Linked DNA regions of Schizosaccharomyces pombe. The gene in region 1 interacts genetically with each later gene. Each region holds a gene or a part of one and is shown on either strand. Other genes may lie near its edges. The genes, in order: srs2, rad26, pnk1 and rad54.

Evidence for each region.
Region 2: mutations in srs2 (region 1) and rad26 are lethal when combined (synthetic lethality), as found in Schizosaccharomyces pombe (3 studies listed by BioGRID, with this or other methods).
Region 3: mutations in srs2 (region 1) and pnk1 impair growth when combined (synthetic growth defect), as found in Schizosaccharomyces pombe (2 studies listed by BioGRID, with this or other methods).
Region 4: mutations in srs2 (region 1) and rad54 are lethal when combined (synthetic lethality), as found in Schizosaccharomyces pombe (3 studies listed by BioGRID, with this or other methods).

The regions. Positions count from the first base shown.
Region 1 is NC_003424.3:3,830,673-3,836,247, forward strand, and holds srs2 (UvrD subfamily ATP-dependent DNA helicase), read left to right. Parts: upstream 1-1,606; 5' UTR 1,607-2,102; coding exon 2,103-2,464; intron 2,465-2,529; coding exon 2,530-2,794; intron 2,795-2,814; exon of another isoform or gene 2,815-2,839; coding exon 2,840-3,270; exon of another isoform or gene 3,271-3,315; coding exon 3,316-4,921; 3' UTR 4,922-4,954; coding exon of another isoform or gene 4,955-5,000; 3' UTR 5,001-5,046; downstream 5,047-5,575. Other genes in the region: SPOM_SPAC4H3.04C (uncharacterized protein), read right to left, coding at 398-1,011, 1,103-1,284, 1,344-1,477; SPOM_SPAC4H3.16 (uncharacterized protein), read right to left, coding at 4,955-5,000, 5,047-5,254, 5,295-5,364. UniProt on the Schizosaccharomyces pombe protein: ATP-dependent DNA helicase involved in DNA repair at least for UV-induced lesions. Also aids the recombinational repair of camptothecin-induced collapsed replication forks.
Region 2 is NC_003424.3:4,448,868-4,453,873, forward strand, and holds rad26 (ATR checkpoint kinase regulatory subunit Rad26), read left to right. Parts: upstream 1-1,737; 5' UTR 1,738-1,978; intron 1,979-2,058; 5' UTR 2,059-2,247; coding exon 2,248-2,997; exon of another isoform or gene 2,998-3,052; coding exon 3,053-3,718; intron 3,719-3,773; coding exon 3,774-4,202; 3' UTR 4,203-4,502; downstream 4,503-5,006. Other genes in the region: GTPase Ypt2, read right to left, coding at 48-650; atd1 (aldehyde dehydrogenase), read right to left, coding at 4,693-5,006.
Region 3 is NC_003424.3:2,135,487-2,141,435, reverse strand, and holds pnk1 (DNA kinase/phosphatase Pnk1), read left to right. Parts: upstream 1-1,968; 5' UTR 1,969-1,997; coding exon 1,998-2,538; exon of another isoform or gene 2,539-2,561; intron 2,562-2,591; coding exon 2,592-2,987; intron 2,988-3,026; coding exon 3,027-3,169; intron 3,170-3,225; coding exon 3,226-3,372; 3' UTR 3,373-3,494; coding exon of another isoform or gene 3,495-5,291; 3' UTR 5,292-5,402; downstream 5,403-5,949. Other genes in the region: ipp1 (inorganic pyrophosphatase), read right to left, coding at 38-907; mpp10 (U3 snoRNP-associated protein Mpp1), read right to left, coding at 3,495-5,291; rps23 (40S ribosomal protein uS12), read left to right, coding at 5,648-5,949. UniProt on the Schizosaccharomyces pombe protein: Catalyzes the phosphorylation of DNA at 5'-hydroxyl termini and can dephosphorylate its 3'-phosphate termini. Has a role in the repair of breaks in single-stranded DNA.
Region 4 is NC_003424.3:3,679,860-3,685,241, reverse strand, and holds rad54 (DNA repair protein), read left to right. Parts: upstream 1-1,976; 5' UTR 1,977-2,096; coding exon 2,097-4,655; 3' UTR 4,656-4,882; downstream 4,883-5,382. Other genes in the region: EF-1 alpha-binding zinc finger protein Zpr1, read left to right, coding at 141-1,520. UniProt on the Schizosaccharomyces pombe protein: Plays an essential role in homologous recombination (HR) which is a major pathway for repairing DNA double-strand breaks (DSBs), single-stranded DNA (ssDNA) gaps, and stalled or collapsed replication forks.

The DNA.
Region 1 (5,575 bases):
ATAATGTTTTCGTTACTAATCGTGTAAAAGAAATTTGTTCAGAATATCAAAAACAGTAGTTTTATACATAGTAGAAAGATTTAAAAATTGATTAATTCTCAAGAGAGACCAATTGATACATACAGAAAACAAAAAAATTATATAAATGGAAAAGGGTATGTTTCGTAAATGTTGCAATTGAGAAATAAAGCGCATTTCATTTATCGTAATTTGCCTAGATCAGAAAAAGCATTGCAAAATTAGCCTCCTGAGTATGAATCTGATGATAATAACTAACAAACACAGGTTGCATAATACATGTTCCGATAATTTTCGGCTCTCAAATACTTAAATATATGATCGTTTCGCATCAGCCGTTTCAAGTCATGAAAAAAATAATAATAAAATATCAACAATACTATGCGGTTGCGGTTGCATAGCTAACGCTGCTATCGGTGACCAATTCAACATGGCTACTTTGAGCGTACGAAATAAACTTGAATCTTTCAGAGAAATTGGCGCATTCCATAGATTTCATAATGAGTTCTATAGGGTAACGGCCGCATATGGTGTTTTGAGTGGTTTTCAAATACTCTGAAAAGTCATCACTACTTTTCGTTTCAATAATTTTCATACCAATATGATCCAAATTAGATATAGACTCATAAATTTTGGGACTAGTGGGGCCACCTCGTCTTTTGTATTTTAAGACTGCATCCTCTAATTGATTCGTATCGTTCAAATAAAGGGTATATCCAAATCTTCTTCCCCAATGACAAAAATCGGAAGATATAACAAATGAATTTGATTCATCTTTAATATACTGACTCAGAAATTTCGCTGCTGCCATCATTGTGGTTGAAGTTAAGGCACCTATCATGATAGGAACAATTTTGACTTTTCCCAAGCATCCTTGTTTCAGCAAATGAAAAGCTAAAAGAGGGAATTGCATTTCGAGGCTATGTTCACTTTCATCCACATCCAAGGTCATTGAGTCGAAGCTGTTATCGCTAGCGACGAGTTTCTGACATACTATATAAATTTCCAGTTAGCAAATAATCTGTGCTGAGAAATAGACAGTAGCAATTTAGTAAAACTACTAAGCAAAACTGTTTTCACATACAGTCTTCATCCACTTTCAAATCACCTAAAGGTGTTGAGCAGATGCTAGCTCGACTGACTAGGCATTTTCTAGTAAAGATGTGATGAGAAGGCCCAAAAACAAAAACTCTCTGAATTTTCGAAAAGTCCAATTGCTGAAATCCTTGGGATGCGACTTTCCCACTATACATGTAACCAGCATGTCTGCTCAATATTTAGCTATATACTGAATATCACATAAATTATAAGTTGTCTATACGTACGGTGAAATGACAAACCGTTTCCCAGTCTCGGGCGTTGGGTTTTTGATAAATGATTTTAATTGCTTAGTTAGTAATTCTGTATCATCCAAATACCAAGATCCTGCATGAGTTGCTTCACGAATGGCTTGTGACATGAGATAAATTGAAGAATAATATTGATACGTTCAAATTGTAATTCGGTTTGTGATGTTCGTTTGACAATGGGTATTATTTTCTGAACAACACACTGTTACATATATCTTGCTTTCTTGCCTTCATCATTTGCGTTTTGCTGCACTAACACCACTTTTGGGAGGTCGAAACACAAGACTAAGACAATCGCAAAATCAGGTTTTCACACAATAAAATCATTACTTAAGAATACTGAATTGAAAGGCTTTCATTTGTTATACGTTCACGATTTACTCAAATTTCTTGTAGTAAAAACAGGTGGATTAAAATCTTTTTCGTATCCGTGTATCAGCCCTTTCGCGCTGGTAGGTCAATCGAGAATACTAAGAAATTGCAAGTGTTGTTTTCAACTAAATAAGGGTTGATCTTCTAAATTATTTCACCTATGCTATGCTTTCGTTAAAATAATAAGTATTTGTTAATTTTCTTAGTTTGACGTGTCATCGTTTCACAATTTAATATTTATTACCCGACAACTCATCGGAAAAGACCGTGTTTGGCCAAAAATCTTTGCATTGTTTTCCTATTTCTCACTTTTTTAAAATATACATTTGAAGCTGTCGGTTGAGTGTTTTGTTCTTCTCAATTATGGAAACGAAATCATCATACTTGAAGTTTCTGAATGAAGAACAAAGGATTAGTGTTCAGAGTCCTCATAAGTATACTCAAATTTTAGCCGGTCCTGGGTCTGGAAAAACCCGTGTTCTTACCGCTCGAGTAGCCTATTTACTTCAAAAGAACCATATTGCAGCCGAAGATTTAATTATAGCCACCTTTACGAACAAAGCCGCAAATGAAATAAAGCTCAGAATTGAAGCTATTTTGGGGAATAGTGAAGCCTCTAAGCTTATTTCTGGGACGTTTCATTCTATAGCGTACAAGTATTTGGTTAAATATGGCAAGCATATAGGGCTATCCTCAAATTGGTTGATTGCTGACAGAAATGATACGTATGTCTTGTTTACACTTTTCTAACTTTTACTTCTCCACTTTCAACCATTGCTGATCTATTTAGTCAAGCTATTATGAAGCGACTTTTAGACTCTCTCAAGAAAGCTAAAAATCCGATTGCTTCTGGTATTAGAGGACAAGAATTGACTCCTCAGAATGCTCTAAATCGCATAACTAAATTAAAGTCCAACGGTCTTCTTGTTAAACCTGGAATGGATCAGTTGAGTTTGATTAATGGTCTGGAAGAACCACCTAAAGAGCTTCAAAGCCATCAATCTGTTGAATTGTATAGACTTTATCAAACTTCCTTATGGAAGAACAATTTAGCGGTACGTAACAAGCATAAAGTTGTATGTATATATCTAACTATTTAGGATTTTGATGATTTGCTTTTAAACTTTATTTTATTACTTCAAAAGCAACCAGATTGTGTGAGGAATATAAAACATATTTTAATCGATGAATTTCAAGATACTAGCAAAATCCAATATTTTCTTGTTAAGCTTTTGGCATTGCAAAATTCAGATATCACGATTGTTGGCGATCCCGATCAATCAATCTATGGATTTCGAAGTGCTGAAATTAGGAACTTAAACCAAATGTCTGAAGACTTTGAAGGTACCCAAGTGCTTCATTTGGAAAGAAATTACCGTTCAGCTAAACCTATACTTGAATTAGCACTGTCTATCATTTCACAGGACAAAAGCAGGCCTAAGAAGGGGCTCAAAAGTAATCACATCTCTTCCTTAAAGCCTCATTACCGATTGTTTGAAACTAACAATAAAGAATCTTACTGGATCGCAAGGTTCGTATGGCTTCATTGCATGAAAGTTTACTAACGATTCTTTAGAGAAATTAAACGTATAGTAGGTTCTTGTCCAGAGCTTATATTTTATAACGATATCGCAATCCTTGTAAGGTCCTCCAGCCTTACAAGAAGTTTAGAACATGCACTTTCCGAACTTGGTGTGCCCTACCGCATGGTTGGAGTTAACAAGTTTTTTGATAGAGAAGAGATTCGAGACTTAATAGCTTACTTGAGAGTCCTAGCTAACAAAGATTCGACTTCTTTAATTCGTGTCATCAATGTCCCTCCTAGAAATATTGGCAAAACAAAAATCGACCGTATTATTTTCGAAAGTGAAAGAAGAGGATTGACCTTTTGGCAAACTTTAAATGAAGTAAAGAATGAAAATATTTTACTTTCTCAAAGAAATGACAAGAGTTTTCTAAAGTCTTTAAAGTCTTTTCTTTGTTCAATCTCCAAACTTGAAAATCGTTACTTGTCTAATGGGCACTCAGCAACTCTTAGTGATTTACTTTTGGGAATACTTTCTGAGATTAAATATTACGAATACCTGGTTCGGAAAAATAAAGAAACTGTCGAAGAAAAATGGGAAAATGTAATGGAGCTTGTACAACAAAGCGATAACATATCTTGTATATTCTATGAATTAGATTACAAAATATCAACAATTGTTCTATTGCAGAATTTTTTGACTCAAATCGCTCTTGTGAATGAAGAACAGAAAGAGGGCGAATCTCAGAAGGTTACCATTTCAACCCTTCACGCAGCTAAGGGTTTAGAGTGGCCTGTTGTATTTTTACCTTGTCTTTGTGAAAATATTATCCCTCATTCTCGTTCAGACGACCTCGACGAGGAAAGAAGGCTGCTATATGTCGGTGCCACACGTGCACAGGCGCTACTGTATCTATCTTCCTTTAAAAGCGTCACTGGAATGTTTGCAGATATGCAGAACTCAGACAATGTACAGGACGTCAGTCCATTTTTAAAAGGAGAAGAAATGAAAAGATGGGTGATGGAAAGTGAAATAGTTTTTAATGAAAAGATTGCTTCTGAAATTGGAACCATATTGGGTCGGAAATCTTATGGGAAAATAACTAATTTAAGCGGTATTGGTTCAAATGCAAATCATAACGGAACTAAATTCGAAAACTTGGGCTTCCAATGCTGTCGTGTTCTAGCTGAGGCAGAATTGAAAAAGAGAGAACGAGTCAAAAGTGTCAATGACTATAATAAAGATGAAACAAATTTTAGAAAACATAATGCCAAGAGATCGAAAACCGATATACGAAGTTGGTTTGAGAAAAAACAACCAATCGATTCAGATGTAGAGATTTCTGAGCCGTCAAGGTCCGCAAGCATAATGGTTGCAAATAAAGATTTAAATGATCGAAGTTTTGAAACTGTCAATCGTATTGTATCGACAAGAGCCTCAACGACAAACGCTTCTTTCATGAGCAGCGTCAGACAAAATCTTGGTAGAGGTCCTTCTACGAAAGATCAGGTAATAAATAGAACGTTGAGGGAAGGTCACCAAGATGTTGTGCAACATACTGACCTTAATCAATCAAATACTAAGGTCGCGAGTGCCCGTCCTGCTGGTTCGAGAAAACGATTGGGTGTAAGGCTACGAGTTTCACGAATGTTATAGTCATATCATGTTGTACAAAATCACGTATTATATTTATAGACAATCTAAACACCTTGCTACGGTGTTTTCTTTAAAATACCTACATATAATGTCAGCTTGAAAATAGATACAGATAATAAACTTACATTAGAGTACTACAGTTTCGACAAATATTTCGTTGGCAGCGATCACATGTAGAAAGATATAATACGTTATCACAAAATTCGCAAACACCGGTAGATGAAGGCAGATGGTCATTGTCAGTAACAAAATTAACCTTTTCATTTAAAACGATAGAAGAGGCATCATGGGCATTACTTTTTTTGCTTGCAAACAAACTAAGAAAAGATCTCACTTAGAAGCTTAGTAAAAAATCGCTAAATTCTTCACTTACTATCCAAATGATTTTTACACTTCTTTCTTGGTAACCTACTAGGAACATGTTCAGAACGACATCTTTTCATAGCTAAATCTCGGATACTTCGAGTTTCAAAAAAATGTGACACGTTGTTCTACCCTCTTAAAGCCTTATCGAGGTGTTGTTTTGTTTTTGTGGAACGCGGACTAGATGGCTAGTGCATGGTCTAATGGACTGTACAGGAATGGTCAAATAGGCGATACTTCTTGTCAAAATATAGCACTAAATGCATTTTTGAACCCTGTATATATTCGAAA
Region 2 (5,006 bases), 620 kb from region 1:
TCAAAAACTAGCGAAAAAGAAAATGTGACAAGATAATAATAAGGAGCCTAACAACACCTCTTCACCGTACGATCGTTTCCGAGGTCAACGTTATTTGCCTGGTTGGAAAATTCGTTTTCTGCATCAATCTTTTGTTTTTTTATTTCCCGGGCAAGGGTAAAAAATGCCTCATCTACATTGACGTTCGTCTTCGCACTAGCTTCTAAAAATTTAACGCCCAGCTCATCGGCTAACGCTTGTCCCTGTTCAAAGGAGACCTGACGCTGATCCTCACAATCACATTTATTTCCAATAAGGATTTTATAAACATTTTCACTAGCATGTTGTTCAACGTTACTAAACCAAGTTCGGACGTTATCAAATGATTTTTTATCAGTTACATCGTATAACAATAAAATACCCATTGCACCACGATAATAAGCAGTGGTAATGGTACGGAAACGTTCCTGGCCAGCAGTGTCCCAAATTTGGAGTTTGATACGTTTTCCATCTAGTTCAATCGTGCGAATCTTGAAATCAATTCCAATCGTTGTGATAAAAGAAGGGGTAAACGAGTCTTCCGAAAATCTCAGAAGAAGACATGATTTTCCCACACCTGAATCTCCTATGAGAAGTAATTTGATTAAATAATCGTAGGATTTTGTAGACATGGAGGAGTGTTGCTTTTGCCAGGTGGTAAGTGGTAGAATCTACTGGAGTCCCTTGAGATAATGCCGCAAAAATACACTTAAATTTATTAATTCAAGTAATGTTATTGTATAAATGGTACTAGTTTTATTTAAGTCTTTGTTTGTGTTTTTTTATGTTGAAAAAACATGACTTTCAACTTTTTTATGTACGTTTCCTAAGGGCAATAAACTCGAAGTTTTGATAAAGGAAGTCACTATTCTAGGGCACATACATACACTCTTGAGAAAGTAACAAAGATATTCACAAGAGAAATAATTCAGATTTCATGTCAGAGAAAAATCTCTGTCACTAAACAATTTACTAGCCATGGATTAATTTATACGATTTGAATGACTGGTAATATGACTAATATAGTACTGCATTGATCAATTTAATCAATGTTTATATGACTGTCATTGACCTAAACATACTTATAATTAACGCTTTAAGTGTTTTGGTTTAGATTTTTCCTTTTTATTTTTGATAATATAGTAAATGGATGGGGGAGAAACAATGAACTTAACGTTAATTCATATGATCATCATTTTAGGCTTTGTCATTGTTGTTCGAGTTGAAACAATAAACCGTTTAAACCAGCATAAACTATAAAATGTTCTACGATTAGGAGTTGGACTGTCTGAAAATAAATAACTTTTAAATTTTTCGAGGTTATGAGTATTCAATAGAGATTGAAATTAATAATTTCTACAATAAAACAAAATAACAAATTATTTCATTTTATCCATTGATATATTTGGTTAGACTACAATTCGATCTTACTTTTTTAATAATATTTTCATTTTTTTAATTCTTTTATGTTTATTAATTCGAATAAATGATGGAAGCCATTTGTCATAACACCTTAATTTAAGTATAAAAAATATTTTTCTCATGTTTTATTTTTAAAAGCATTCAAACATCATACACTTATTTTATTTATTTTTTATTATTGACAATTCAAATACTTGATTTTTGGCTAATAGTGATTTACAGTACTTGAGGTCTTATTGTCGATTACGTAACTCGTAAAACTTCAAGTTGGCTATTCGATTGCTAACCAAAATGCACTAATACGCCAAGTTCAACAAGTAAATTAAAGATCACAAGAAATACTCATAGCAGTTAAACGTATCGTTAAAGCATCTTATATAGCTGCGCATTTTGGAAAAGACTATCTTATTTATCATATCTGTTGGTGCTCTGCAAAATCAATTCATATTGCTACAAGGGTTCAATTATTCATACAGGAAGTTACGCGATTAAGCAGCCTTAGTGACTGCAGTCATATTCTGCTATTAGTGTTTCGTTTGTATGTGGTATTCATACTAGAAAGAGATATGGTTTTTCGGCCTTATCTTCTCTGCATAATATTGCTTACTAACTGTTAAGGTTTTCCAATTGCTGAATTACGATAATTACAGTTACCAAGGTTGCTGAAAGTATTTGAAACAATTTACGATTTATTATGAATTCAATTCTTTTTTACAGAATAAGAAAAACATTGGGCCCATATTACAATTTGGAATCACTTCAAACAACTATTGTTACGCATAAACGAGAGTGAAAGCTACAAACAAAATGATGGCTGATGAAAGTTTTGACTTGGAGAGTTTGGGTTCGGATGAAATATTTGAAGGCGTGAATTTAGATGAATTAGAGCAACAAGCTCAAACCCAGGTTCAAGCTCAAAGTTCTCAAGTAGTTGTACCGAGTGAAAAGCAAAAGCAAAATTTAAATCTTCCAAATTCATACACCAATTCTTCTCAAAAAGTCCGGGAATCTACCGTAAACTCACAAGCCTCATTATCCTCTAATGACCTTCGAACAGAACTTTTAATTAAGTCGGGAGAAAATGCAATTCTTCGTGCTAACCTTCTAAAACAATCCGAAGCTAATAATGCCGCCCTAGAATCGTTAAATAATTCTATAAAGCAAAAGCAAGATGAATACCAACGGAAATTAGAGGAGCTTAAAAAAGAAATTGAATACGCAAAAACGAAATCCCTATTTCATGAGCGTGAAGCACAGGATGCTATCGAAACTATGAAAAAAATGAAAAGAGATGTAAAGAATTCTCCGATTATGAAAAAATCCCATGAAGAAGATGGTGACAATAAATTGTTATCTTCTTCTGATCAGCTTGCTAAGAGCACAAAGCATGCTGCAAAAAACAGCCCTTCTAAAAAGAAGCGCAAAACAAGTGTTGCTACTGCTGAAGATGCTTCAACGGATAGTGTGAGTTCTAGTATTGCTATATCAGATGCAAGTTTGTCTTTGAGCCTGATGAAAGATTTACTTTCTCTACAAAAAAGAGAAGATTTGTATTTTGTAAGTATTTTTAAACTGTCGTGTTAAATTTTATTCCCTTTTCTTACTTTTCTAGTCTTCTAGAACTTTAGCATACGTATTTGGTGGTTGTATGCATTCATTAGAAACAATTGAAGGAGAGGAGGAAGGTGAATGTTTGTTTAATAACTTGAAAGCTCTAATATACAGTCCCGATCTATCTATGGATTCCTCCAATTATGTACAATCTGTCGTTCAAACATCATCGTCGATTTTAAATTATTCAATGAAAAAATTATTATATAATGCCTCCTTTGCTATAACATCTTTGTTTAATGCATTATTAATTTTGGACCCTAAATCATCCACCTTTATCTTTCAGGAAAATGTCGTTTCTTTAATAAGTGGTTTTCTTCTTAAGGAATACGAAAAAAGCAATTTTTTGGACTCAAAGTTTTACGTTTTAATAGATTTTCTTTATTTATACTTATCTATAGCACGTGAAAGTGCTGATGACTTTGCAAACATTACTAAAGCGGTTGATCCGTCGTTATTCGAATCCTGCATTCGAGTGCAAAATGCTCCTTCTTTGATTAAATGTGGTGTTTGTTTAATTATTAGTTCCACCACTCCTTCGTTTTGCGCTTCAGTTAACTTGTTAAATGCCGATGATAAATCCCAAGAATCACTCATGCAACTTTTCACAACTATGGCCCATATTTTAGTTGTTACTACTAGGGAAAGGATTAATTTTCCTGAATTGGTACGTTTACGAATTGTGCTTATAATCTTTGCATTGCTTATTTCTAACAAATTAGAATGAATGGATAACGCTTCATCGCTTTGTCATATCCTTTTTTACCGTGTTTATACAAATGTCTGGAAACATTGGTAAAGAGATTTTAAAAGTATGCAATCCCTTAATAGTATGCATCGGACTAGCCATCACTTGGTATCATCAGCAACTCCTTTCGTCAATGTACCCTCAAAATGAATGCGTAGAGATTTTAGTATCTCTTGTTCGGCTTCTGTACATTTTATCTTCCGAAGATTTATCATCAAAATTTATGTTAGCTGAAAATGCGTTACAACCTCGTTTCGTTTATGCAATAGCATGCTGCGCATTCGGCGATACTGAACAAAAAGCGTTTGGCAATTTGGGTGAGGAAATGTATTTTCTCACTACAGAATTGTTGGAAGTTTGCGTCTCTCCCGAAGAGCTGGAGCAGTTGTACACTAATTTTTAGATAATGAAACAGATGAATCTATTTCCCTAATTTTTCAAATGAAATAATGATACTTGTTTCTTCAGTGTTGTTCTTTCCCGTCCCGCACCCACATCCTCGCAAATTAAATACAAATCAATCTGTTTCCCCAAAGGAATGCGTACCACAAAAACATCCCCATTCCGTTCTTTTAGTAAAACTTACGGCTATATTTACCTGCAAATAAAATCATCTAGCAATTAACGAAAATGAATATATTAAAGTACCACTAACATAAAGAATCATCACTATGTAAATTCAATAAAATGCATTTGAAAGTTCAAATATCAAAACCGTTTTGATTCATAATAAAGAAAATCCGTCATAGAAGAGTTTCAAGAAAAACTGTAAACATTCATAACATAAAGAGAAAAATCCAATAATTCTCTTCACTAGAGTTTTTCTTCATTCTTTATCCATTGAATGCATATTTTTTTATTTTTTTTACAAAAAATATTTGCGTCTGATTTCCTTAAATGGGAGAATCCATTCCCAGGTTGATGTGAACAGCTTTTGTTTGAGTATAATTGGTAAGACCGTAAGAGCCCAATTCGCGACCGATGCCACTCTCCTTATAACCACCAAAGGGAATTTGGTGATGAAGTAAGTTATAACAATTCACCCAAACAGTACCGGCTTCAAGAGCATTGCTGACCTTGATGGCATTGGTAATATTGTTAGTGTGTACACCAGCAGCTAAACCATATGTACTGTTGTTACCGCGACGGATGGCCTCCTCGATGGTCTTGAATTTAATGACGGCAAGAACGGGTCCAAAAATTTCCT
Region 3 (5,949 bases), 1.7 Mb from region 1:
ATAGTCTATATTCTATATTATAGTGTGATACTACTACTTAAAGAGGAGAGCCAGAAATGTAGAACCATTTGTGAACGCTGGGATCAACAGGAGCAGGAGCGAGCTCTTGAGCAGGAGGAATAGTGCTGGAAACGGAAGGGTCATTGGCAACAGATCCAGTGACTGAAACATTGACCAAAGAAAAGTCAGACTTGGCATCAGTCTTACCGGTAATAAGGCGCTCCCAAGCTTCATTGCACTCACGAACAACTTCTTCAGCATACTTACGGTTCTTGCATTCACCACTGAAAGCAAAGGAATTTTCAGGCTTGCCATCGGGGATCTTGTAAATGCGGAACCACTCGTTAGTAGCACGGATTAAGCCAGGCATATGACGTTCAACATCCTCAATATCATTAAGCTTAGGAGCTAAAGGGTCATTAACGTCGATGACAATAACCTTCCAGTCAGTCTCACCCTCGTCAAGAAGGGCCATAACACCCAAGACCTTAACTTGCTTGACTTGGCCGGTGTAGCCACGAGCTTCACCGATCTCACAAACATCGAGAGGATCGCTATCACCCTTGGCCTTGGTTTCAGGATGAACAACATTAGGATCCTCATAGGTTTGAGGAAAAGCACCGTAGTTCCAAATGTAACCGTGGTGAGGAAAGCAGTTACGAACGAAACGAAGCTTACCCTTCTTAGTATCTTGCTTGATAGGGTTCAAGGTAGCTTCCTTGGTAATTTCAAGCTTAGCCTGAGTCCAACGAGGGATCTCAACGACCATGTTCAAGATGGTCTTCTCAGCATTGGCATACAAGGGGATATCGTGCCAAGAAGAGATAGGAGTACCATTTTTCTCAACATAGACTTGGTAGTCCAATGTGTTCAAAGCGCCAACTTCACGGGTAGTGTATTCACTCATGACTGAAAAGTGTTTTTGGTTAAGTACAGGTTGCAATGTGCACTAATTCGCAACATCTGCTACAAAATTTGTAACTCAATGTATACAAAAAATCTTATATTAATTTATAAAATTTTCTAAGGAACAGGTTTATATTTTTAATATCGCATGTTTTTATTTTATACAGCATAAAGATGGATTTGTGAATCTTACATAGGGTAATACTGTTATAAAGTTACTTTCTTTAGCAATACTTTATTAAATGATTGATAGTAAAGGAGATTTCCACAACATGATAAAAATTTAGCACAAATAAATTATTAAAATTAAATTGTTTTACGAGAATTTATCAATTTTTTATATTAAACACAATCAAAGATATTTATTAGCCTTGTATGCAGGTTTCTTTTCTGTCGATATGGATCTTGTGGAATACTGATTTTGCGATCAGTAAATTCTTGGCTGATGCAGTAGAAGCCATAATGTTTATATAAAAATATACGAAATATTTAAATTAATTAATTATGGAAATTTTTGTTTTTAAATTCCAGATCAGCTACTAAAAAAGATAAATGACAAACGAAAAAATAATGCAAAAAAAAGCTCATACATAAAAACAAAATATTGCCGATGTCCTTCATTTTTTGTTTAAAAATAAACGGTTTAATTTTAAACGATACCAAAAAAAAAAAACTAATGTTCGTAAATAACGAGATATGCAATTGTTAATGAATAAGATGTAGGTCTCAAATATGTTATTTGTGAAATCTTTGAATGGTTGCCAAATAATAAATTAGACGAATAAATTAAAGAATTTTCTTGTTATTTATTGTCTAAATTTCTTCGAATAAGAATTATTTTCAAGTCAGTAAACATATTAAATCTTCGATTAAGGACTATATGATATAATATATCTTCTCACTAATTGTTGTATATGAGGCATTTTATGTAATTGATCAAAAACAATTGAAAATTCAATAGAGCGAAAAATAAAATTTTCATCTGTTATCCATTTTTAAGTATGTTATTGAAACCACCCATTTTCATTGCTATGCAATTATAATATAGCTAACTCAATTACCAAGTCCCATTTAGTATTTCGTCAATCGCGATGTCGTCGAAAAAAAGAAAGTCTCCCCCCCAGGAATCTTTAACTTCATATTTTGAAAAATCGTCTAAATCCTCAAAAAAGTACGGCTCTCAAAACAAAGATTCTGATTCATCCTCGACATGCCTTCAACAGAAAATAGAAATTCAATGGAGCATCACCGATTCATTATACATAGCAAAGTATGGAAAACTAAAAAAGACTAAAAAATTTATTGCATTTGATTTAGATGGAACGCTCATAAAAACTAAATCTGGTAGAGTATTTTCAAAAGATGCAGCTGACTGGACCTGGTGGCATCCAAGCGTTGTCCCAAAATTGAAGGCTTTATACCAAGACAATTATTCTCTTGTTATTTTCAGTAATCAAAACGGAATTCCAAGAAAACCTTCTGCCGGACATACCTTTCAGATGAAGATTCGTGCTATTTTTGAGTCATTAGATCTACCTATTGTATTGTATGCTGCCATCTTGAAAGATAAGTTTAGAAAACCATTGACAGGAATGTGGAATTCCTTTTTAAAAGACGTGAACCGTTCAATTGGTGAGTTGACGCTTGTAATTTATCAAGGCCTATTAACATTTTTCACCCTTTAGATTTATCTTTCATCAAATACGTAGGTGATGCTGCAGGCCGTCCGGGTGATCATAATTCAACTGATTTAAAGTTTGCTGAAAACATTGGGATTAAATTTGAGACGCCCGAGCAATTTTTCTTGGGGCATTCATTTGTGCCTCCAAACTTTGAATCATTTCATCCAAAGAATTACCTTGTAAGAAATTCTTCTTCACATCCATACCATTTTAAAAAATCCGAGCATCAAGAAATTGTTGTTTTAGTTGGGTTTCCTTCTTCTGGGAAGAGTACTTTAGCTGAATCTCAGATTGTCACTCAAGGATACGAAAGGGTAAATCAAGACATCTTAAAAACGAAATCAAAATGCATCAAGGCTGCCATAGAGGCACTTAAAAAAGAAAAATCGGTTGTCATAGGTATGTACTCGATCATTTCAACGACTTACGCGATTTCAGACAACACAAACCCTACAATAGAATCACGAAAAATGTGGATTGACATAGCCCAAGAATTTGAGATCCCTATACGCTGCATTCATCTTCAGTCATCTGAGGAACTTGCCAGACACAACAACGTTTTCCGTTACATTCACCATAACGTAAGTTACCTGTTGGAGCATTAGAAAGACTTAGAAGAATTCCTAACCAATTCTAGCAAAAACAACTTCCCGAGATAGCGTTTAATTCTTTCAAATCTCGTTTTCAAATGCCAACAGTAGAAGAAGGTTTTACAAATGTTGAAGAAGTTCCTTTTAAATGCCTTAAAGACTATGAAGATACATGGAATTATTGGTACGAATAATACGAATGATATCTAAGAAATTATTAAATTGCATTAATTTCAAAAATATATAGTTATTGATCCCACTAAAACCAAACGTTTATAAAAATTATGACTAGCACACTTAACACCGAAATTTATCTTCAAAGCTTTAGCTGATTTGAAGAAACAATCGGATGATATTTGTTTGAATTACTTGCAACCTTTTTGCGCTCACCTCCTTTACCAATGACCTCAACATTCGATTTTGATAATTGACGAACGACTTGTTCAGTACCGGAATTCCTTCTTTTCTCAGCCATTTGCTTACGTTTCTCAGCATGTTTTCTACGCACCCGCCTGCGGCGTGCTTGCTTTTGTTGGTGGTCCATTTCAGTCGATGAAATGGCGATACCTGACCGAGTAATAGTTTCACCTTCACGATTCTCATTAGACGGTTTATAAACTTCTTGAGGAGCCAATGCCATAGTGTCAGAGGCAGCAGTTGGCTGAACGTCCTCCATTGCTAAAGTGGGTGCATTAGAAACAATTTCAACAGTAGACTCAGGAGGAGGGGGAACATAATGCCAAGAAGCAAGAGAATCTAAAGTGCGGCTGACTTCCGAAAACAATGCCTTGATTTCTTCATGTTCTTTTTCTTTCTTTTTATCAGCTTCACTCTTATATGTGTCGGCGTTGCTCTTTTTAAGGAATTCTTCTTCATATTCTTCTGCTAAAGAACGCTGAGACTTATTTTCGTTTAACTCGAATAATTCGCTTGGTCGAAATTCAGTAACAGCAACTGGCGCGCGTTTAGGTACATCATCAAATGTTTTGGAAATAATTCGGTTTTTAATTAAATCTTCTAATGTCTCAGTAGTCTCTTCCGTTTGTACAGGGACAGGTTTAGCACCAGTTTCAAATTCCAAATCAACGTCTAACAGTGAATTAGAAGGTCGTCCTTTAGACGTTGCCTCCCCCATCATGGTCCAGGACTTCTTGGCAACGTTTTCAGCCTCGAGCTCACGAATTTGCTGAGTCAAACGGGCTTTATCGCGCTCATAAGAAGATAATTGATCAGCTGAAACATCGTCTTCTTCGTCACTAGCAAATAAATCTTTCTTCACTCGATCAAAGGTAGCATACTCATTGTCAGAGCTCTCATTATTTTCTTCAATAACATTTTGTTGCACATCATTTTTGAAATCCGGTTTACTTGTTCTTTTTCTTTTGGATTCGGCCTTTTTCTTTTTTAGTTCACGGCGACCGGCCGCTGTTTTTGGACCAAAAAAATCTTCGTACATAATGGAGTCAGCCTGAGGACCATTTGATTCATCTTCAGAGTCTTCCATATTCTCATCGGGATCCATTAACAAGTCAATACCGTCATCTTCATCGCCGAGGACACCCTCTTCGACTGCTTCCTCTTCTAAAGCTAAGGTTTGCTTGTTAAAATTATCAATATCAAAAAAACCATCATTAAGTCCAAATGCGTCTTTTTTCTGTTCGATTTGTTGTCCTTCTTCATTCATAATTTCAGCTTCATCTCCTGAAACATCTTCGGCAGAACTTTCGTCGACATCTTCTAGATTTTCTGGACCAGAGAACCCTAAAAATTCATCATCAGCATCATCCCGATTGTTCATTTCACTATTGTCAGAGAGTTCCTGATGACTTGTTTCATCATCCTCATCCTGGAAAGAAGTAATGCTATCTTCTTCTTCGTCTTCGTTTTCAACATCAACTTGAGGGAGATCATCTAATGCATACTTGGCAGCTAATGCTAGTTGGTTATATATTTGCCAATTATCTAATCCTTTTGTGACAATTGTTTGGATGGGACTTGTAGATGGGATTTTTATATTTGAGAAAACCTCAATAGCTTTTTCAACCAATTGCTTTGAATCCTCTTTATTCGGGAACAAAAAGAGTGTTGGCTCGGAATTTATAAGTTCAGTCATATCAAATCTTTTTTTTTTTTTAAATCTCACAAAACTTTGACTAAATATCTTGGAAGTATTCCAAGTACGAAACAAATAAATACCAATTGAGCTTAAATATTACACACCAAACCTTTTGCAAAGTACTTGCAACTCCTTTTTCCAAAATAATCAAAAAGACGTATGTTTTTTGTTTTAGATGTTTTTTCTTTTTTGTAATGTAGTAAAATTTTAGTAAGTATGGGCATCAACAATTTACTTAGTGAAGCGTTGCGTACTATATTATATAAGAAGGGTAGGGTTTGTGACTGTTTTGGACATAAAGCTAAGTTCACCTAAATCCAACACACAGTTCGCCGCAACCTCTATACTACAAAATGGGAAAACCCGCAGGATTGAACGCCGCTCGTAAGCTTCGCAATCATCGCCGTGAGGAGCGTTGGGCCGATGCTCATTACAAGAAGCGCTTATTGGGAACCGCTTACAAGTCATCACCTTTCGGTGGATCGTCTCATGCTAAGGGTATCGTTGTCGAAAAGATTGGTGTAGAAGCTAAGCAACCTAACTCTGCTATTCGTAAATGTGTTCGTGTTCAGTTGATCAAGAATGGTAAGAAAGTTACCGCTTTCGTTCCCCACGATGGTTGTCTCAACTTCGTTGATGAAAACGACGAAGTTCT
Region 4 (5,382 bases), 150 kb from region 1:
ATTAAAGACAGTTTATATTGGGTCATTAAGGAAAATTTTTTCCATTCAAGTGAAGACAAATTTTATATTGGTACAAGTTATTCTGTACTTGTCCTTAAACACATCTAATCAAAATAACGCTAAAAAGAAAATTTGAGAGCATGGCGGAAGAAAAAAAGGAAGAATTGTTCACAAGTATTGGCAATGCTGCACAAAATGTGTCAACAGCTGAGGATAGGGAAGGAAATGGTGTTCAAGAAGTCGAATCGTTGTGTATGGAGTGTGGAAAAAACGGTACTACTAAATTATTGTTGACGGTCATTCCATACTTCCGTGAGGTTGTTTTAATGTCGTTTGAATGTCCTCATTGTGGGTTTAAGAATGCGCAAGTTCAACACGCTGAGACAATTCAACCGGAAGGAAGCAAAATTACTTTCCATGTTGAGGATAAGGAAGATTTAAATCGGACAGTTGTAAAGAGCCAGGAGGCTATTGTCAGTATTCCTGAAATTCAGCTAGAAATCCCGGGAAGGTTAGGCCAGTTAACTACCATTGAGGGGATTCTGAGTAATGTGGTGGATGATTTAAGTAAAGAACAAGAATCTCGTAAGGAGTCTGCTCCTCAGTTATATGACCAAATAAATGCTTTCATTGAGAAAGTGAATAGTCTACGTTCTGGATCTGTACCATTTACCATCACAGTTGACGATATTACGGGCAACAGCTGGATCGAGATGAAACCTGGCCGAGATGGTGACCGATGGTCTCAGGTTAGCTACAAGCGTACTTTGGAGCAGAATACGAAGCTGGGTCTTGTGGATACTGATCAACCTGAAGACGTCAAGACACAAACAAACAACGCTTCTAATACACTTAAACATGATGCTACTGCTGTGGAAGTCGATCCCAATGAGGTACATACCTTCCATGCAACTTGTCCCTCTTGTTCACATCAATGTGACACCCACATGAAGTTGCTTGATATTCCCCATTTCAAAGAAGTTATTATCATGTCTACTGTTTGTGATCGTTGTGGATATCGTTCCAACGAAGTAAAAACTGGTGGTGAAATTCCACCCAAAGGTCGAAAAATTACTTTAAAGGTCATGGATGCCGAGGACTTATCCCGTGATATTCTCAAATCTGAAACCGCATCTCTTAAAATTCCTGAACTTGGACTTGATTTGTTCCCAGGTACTTTGGGTGGACGATTCACAACCATTGAAGGTCTTCTAGCTCAAGTTTATGATGAGTTATATGGCCGTGTGTTTTCTCAGGAGACCGATTCTATGACTCCTGAGCAAGTCGCTAACTGGCAACAATTTCTCTGCAACTTGACGGCTGCACGTGAGGGTGCTACTCAATTCACTCTTATTTTAGATGATCCTCTTTCACAAAGTTATCTGCAGAATTATTACGCTCCCGATCCAGATCCAAATATGACTATTGAGGAGTATGAACGTTCATTCCAAGTAAATGAGGAATTGGGTCTGAACGATATGAAGACAGAAAACTATGAAAAGGATGGAGGTAAGAAGTAAAGTTCGAGGTTTTTGTCAAATGTTAGGGAATGTATTTAATATAGTAATACTATGTTTTTTTGGGGGGTTTATTGACTATGAAGATATAATAGTATAGTAGATTAGCTAATTTTTATTTCCCGTAATGTTTTTGTTAGAGACTGATGCTTTATTATTTTACTTTTAGTTTAAAATAGTTACTTGATTTATCGCAAATGTTATGAGGCTAATAATTCGAAGTATTAGTAAACCATAAAATTTGCTACAAGAAATGTTAGATAGTGAAGCTAAAATTATTACCAATAACAAACTTGTAACACATATTTAGCCGATACCAGAAATAATTGATTCATATTTCACAATTTCATTATTTGTATACCATGTTTAGTGAAGGGTAACAATGGTGCGTAATTTAAAGAACGCGACACGCTATAATAGTAATAGAATTTAATTTATATATACATCTAGATATTTCTCAACACATACCATTGGTATAAACAGCACTTTCCTTTTTTTTTTGTTTGAATCCTTATCCCTCTTTTCCTACCCTTTCTTCTATTTCAGTAATCTCTTTTTTAATAATTGCTAATATATTTAATGATTCAGCAACCAACAACTGCTAAACCTAGAATTTCTACTTCTTCAAAGTTAAATACTGTTTTATCAAAAAACAAAGAGAATGTTCCTGGAAAGTTGTTTAAAAAGTTTAAATGCCCTTCTTTAGTGATTTCAGAAAAGCGAAAAGAGCTTCCTTTACGCAAAAAGCCAAGAGTTAACTACAGCGAATATGGTTCTGTTGATGGGAAGTATGATTCAGCTTACGTATCTGAAAATGTGTCTGGGTTGGCAACCATCAAAGAAGCTAATCGATTAATACTAAATCATGAACGACGAGATCCCTCAACAGTCATTAAGAAACAGTTCTCTGTGCCTAAACCTATCAAGGGTCATGAAGATATATCTAAACTGTGTGCACATCGTCCACCTCCTACACTGGGAATGAAAAGGAAGGTGGATTTTATTCCTCGTCCCCTTTACGATCCTGCTGATGAATTTGCTATCGTTTTATATGATCCCACTACTGATGCAGATGAGATCATTCCTGATATAAAAGAGGTCTTAGCGGAAAAACGTAAAAAAGATGAATTGTTAAAAAATCGAAAAGGAAAGAAAGAAATTTCTGATAGTGAGCCTGAAAGTGACCATGATTCATGTGTCTCCACTGACACAGTGGCTAGCTGTTCTACCGAGCAAAGTCTCATAACCTCTAATACCTCAAAGCATAGAAGACCAAATAAAAGTTTGAAAGATCTACTAGGAATTCAGAAAGAAAAACCTCCACCTCCTCCTGTTGCTGTTGTCATTGATCCAAAACTTGCTCGTATTCTAAGACCTCATCAAATAGAAGGTGTCAAATTCTTGTACAAGTGTGTAACTGGAAGGATTGACCGTTGTGCAAATGGATGTATTATGGCAGATGAGATGGGACTTGGTAAGACACTTCAATGTATTGCTTTGTTATGGACCCTTTTAAAACAGTCTCCTCAGGCTGGAAAACCGACAATTGAAAAGGCAATTATAACTTGTCCTTCTTCTTTAGTCAAAAATTGGGCTAATGAACTTGTCAAATGGTTAGGAAAAGATGCTATTACTCCATTCATATTGGACGGTAAAAGCTCCAAACAGGAGTTAATCATGGCTTTGCAACAATGGGCATCCGTACATGGACGACAAGTCACACGTCCAGTGCTTATTGCCAGTTATGAAACCCTTAGAAGTTATGTTGAGCATCTCAACAACGCAGAAATTGGAATGCTTCTTTGTGACGAAGGTCATCGTCTTAAGAATAGTGATTCTTTGACTTTTACGGCATTAGACAAGCTAAACGTTCAAAGGCGTGTCATCCTTTCTGGTACCCCTATTCAAAATGATCTAAGCGAATACTTTTCGTTGTTAAATTTTGCGAATCCTGGGTTGTTAGGTTCAAGGCAAGAGTTCAGAAAAAATTATGAAATTCCAATTTTAAAAGGTCGTGATGCTGACGGAACAGAAAAAGATAAGGAGAATGGTGATGCTAAGTTAGCTGAGTTAGCCAAGATTGTCAATCGGTTTATTATTCGTCGTACGAATGATATTCTCTCCAAATATTTGCCTGTTAAATACGAACATGTTGTCTTTTGCAACCTTTCCGAATTTCAGCTTTCTTTGTACAAGCATTTTATTACCTCGCCTGAAATCAATAAAATCTTAAGGGGGACCGGCAGTCAACCACTAAAAGCTATAGGTCTGCTAAAAAAAATATGTAATCATCCTGATCTATTGAATTTAACTGAGGACTTGGAAGGTTGTGAGGCTCTATTCCCTCCAGGATTTATTCCCCGTGAGCTAAGAGGGCGCGATAGAAACATTGACTCCTCTTTATCAGGTAAAATGTTAGTGTTGGAACGAATGCTCTATCAAATAAAACAAGAGACAGACGATAAAATTGTTTTAATTAGCAATTACACCTCCACGCTTGACTTGTTTGAGCAGCTTTGTAGAGCTCGCGGTTACAAGGCTCTTCGGCTAGATGGTACTATGAATGTAAATAAACGACAACGTTTAGTTGACACATTCAATGACCCGGAAAAGGATGCTTTTGTGTTTTTATTATCTTCTAAAGCAGGTGGTTGTGGTATTAACCTTATTGGCGCTAATCGTCTTATTCTGTTTGATCCCGATTGGAATCCAGCCGCCGATCAACAAGCTTTAGCTCGAGTTTGGCGTGATGGGCAAAAGAAGGACTGCTTTGTTTACCGTTTCATAGCTACTGGAACCATCGAAGAAAAGATATTCCAAAGGCAGTCTCATAAGCAATCTTTGTCTTCTTGTGTTGTGGATGAAGCTCAAGATGTCGAAAGACATTTTTCGCTTGATAACTTAAGGCAGCTGTTTCAGCTTAACGATCACACAGTCTGTGAAACTCATGAAACATATAAATGTAAACGGTGTCGTGATGGAAAACAATTCATCCGAGCCCCAGCCATGTTATACGGTGATACTAGCACATGGAATCATTTTACAAATCCCACATTAGACCGAATAGAAGATCACTTGCTAAAACGTGAGGCAGGAAAACAGCAAGTGAGTACCGTTTTCCAATACAAATCTCATTAATTTTTACGTGTTTAATTACGCTGCTCTCTTCACAAATCCTCATATTTTCATTTAGTTTGATTTGTCTTTAAACTACTCTCACCTCTCTTTATCCCTGTTTGATTTGCTATTCGATGCATAAAACAATATCATGAATTTAATTCCGGTTTTTAAAATATAGTTTTTAATTTAATTAATATCCAACCCTCAATTGTATCCTACCAAACCTCAATTACTCCTTGGTAAGCTTTGTGACAAAATTATTACGAATTTACAGGTATGCTGAAATAAATTTTTTTTTTTAGAATGTTATATTCAATTGTTAAGAGCATATAATTTGTCATATTTTTCTGAAACATTTGAAATTGCATTTGTTAGTATTCGAACCCGTGACAGTTTTAGCACTGCTTTTCTATATTAAGATTGGGATGTCTCGAATTTTTGTTATTAACCATGTAGCTACTTTTAGGCAAACTGCATACATCTTATATGCTTTTTGTCACTCTAATAGCTTATATAAACATTGCTTATGTCTAAATACTTTGGACGTTCAAACTCGTGAATGTTCCAATATAGGTAGAAGCTTACATAACCAATTATTTATTTAAGGGTTGTTTCATTTGCAATCTTATATATTACTTCTAAATATTATATATGCATATTTACTTAACAAAAATAGTAACATTCAATAGTAGTTAGACCCGGATTATAAAGCCAATCGACAAATATCAAGTTTGCTGGCAACGGA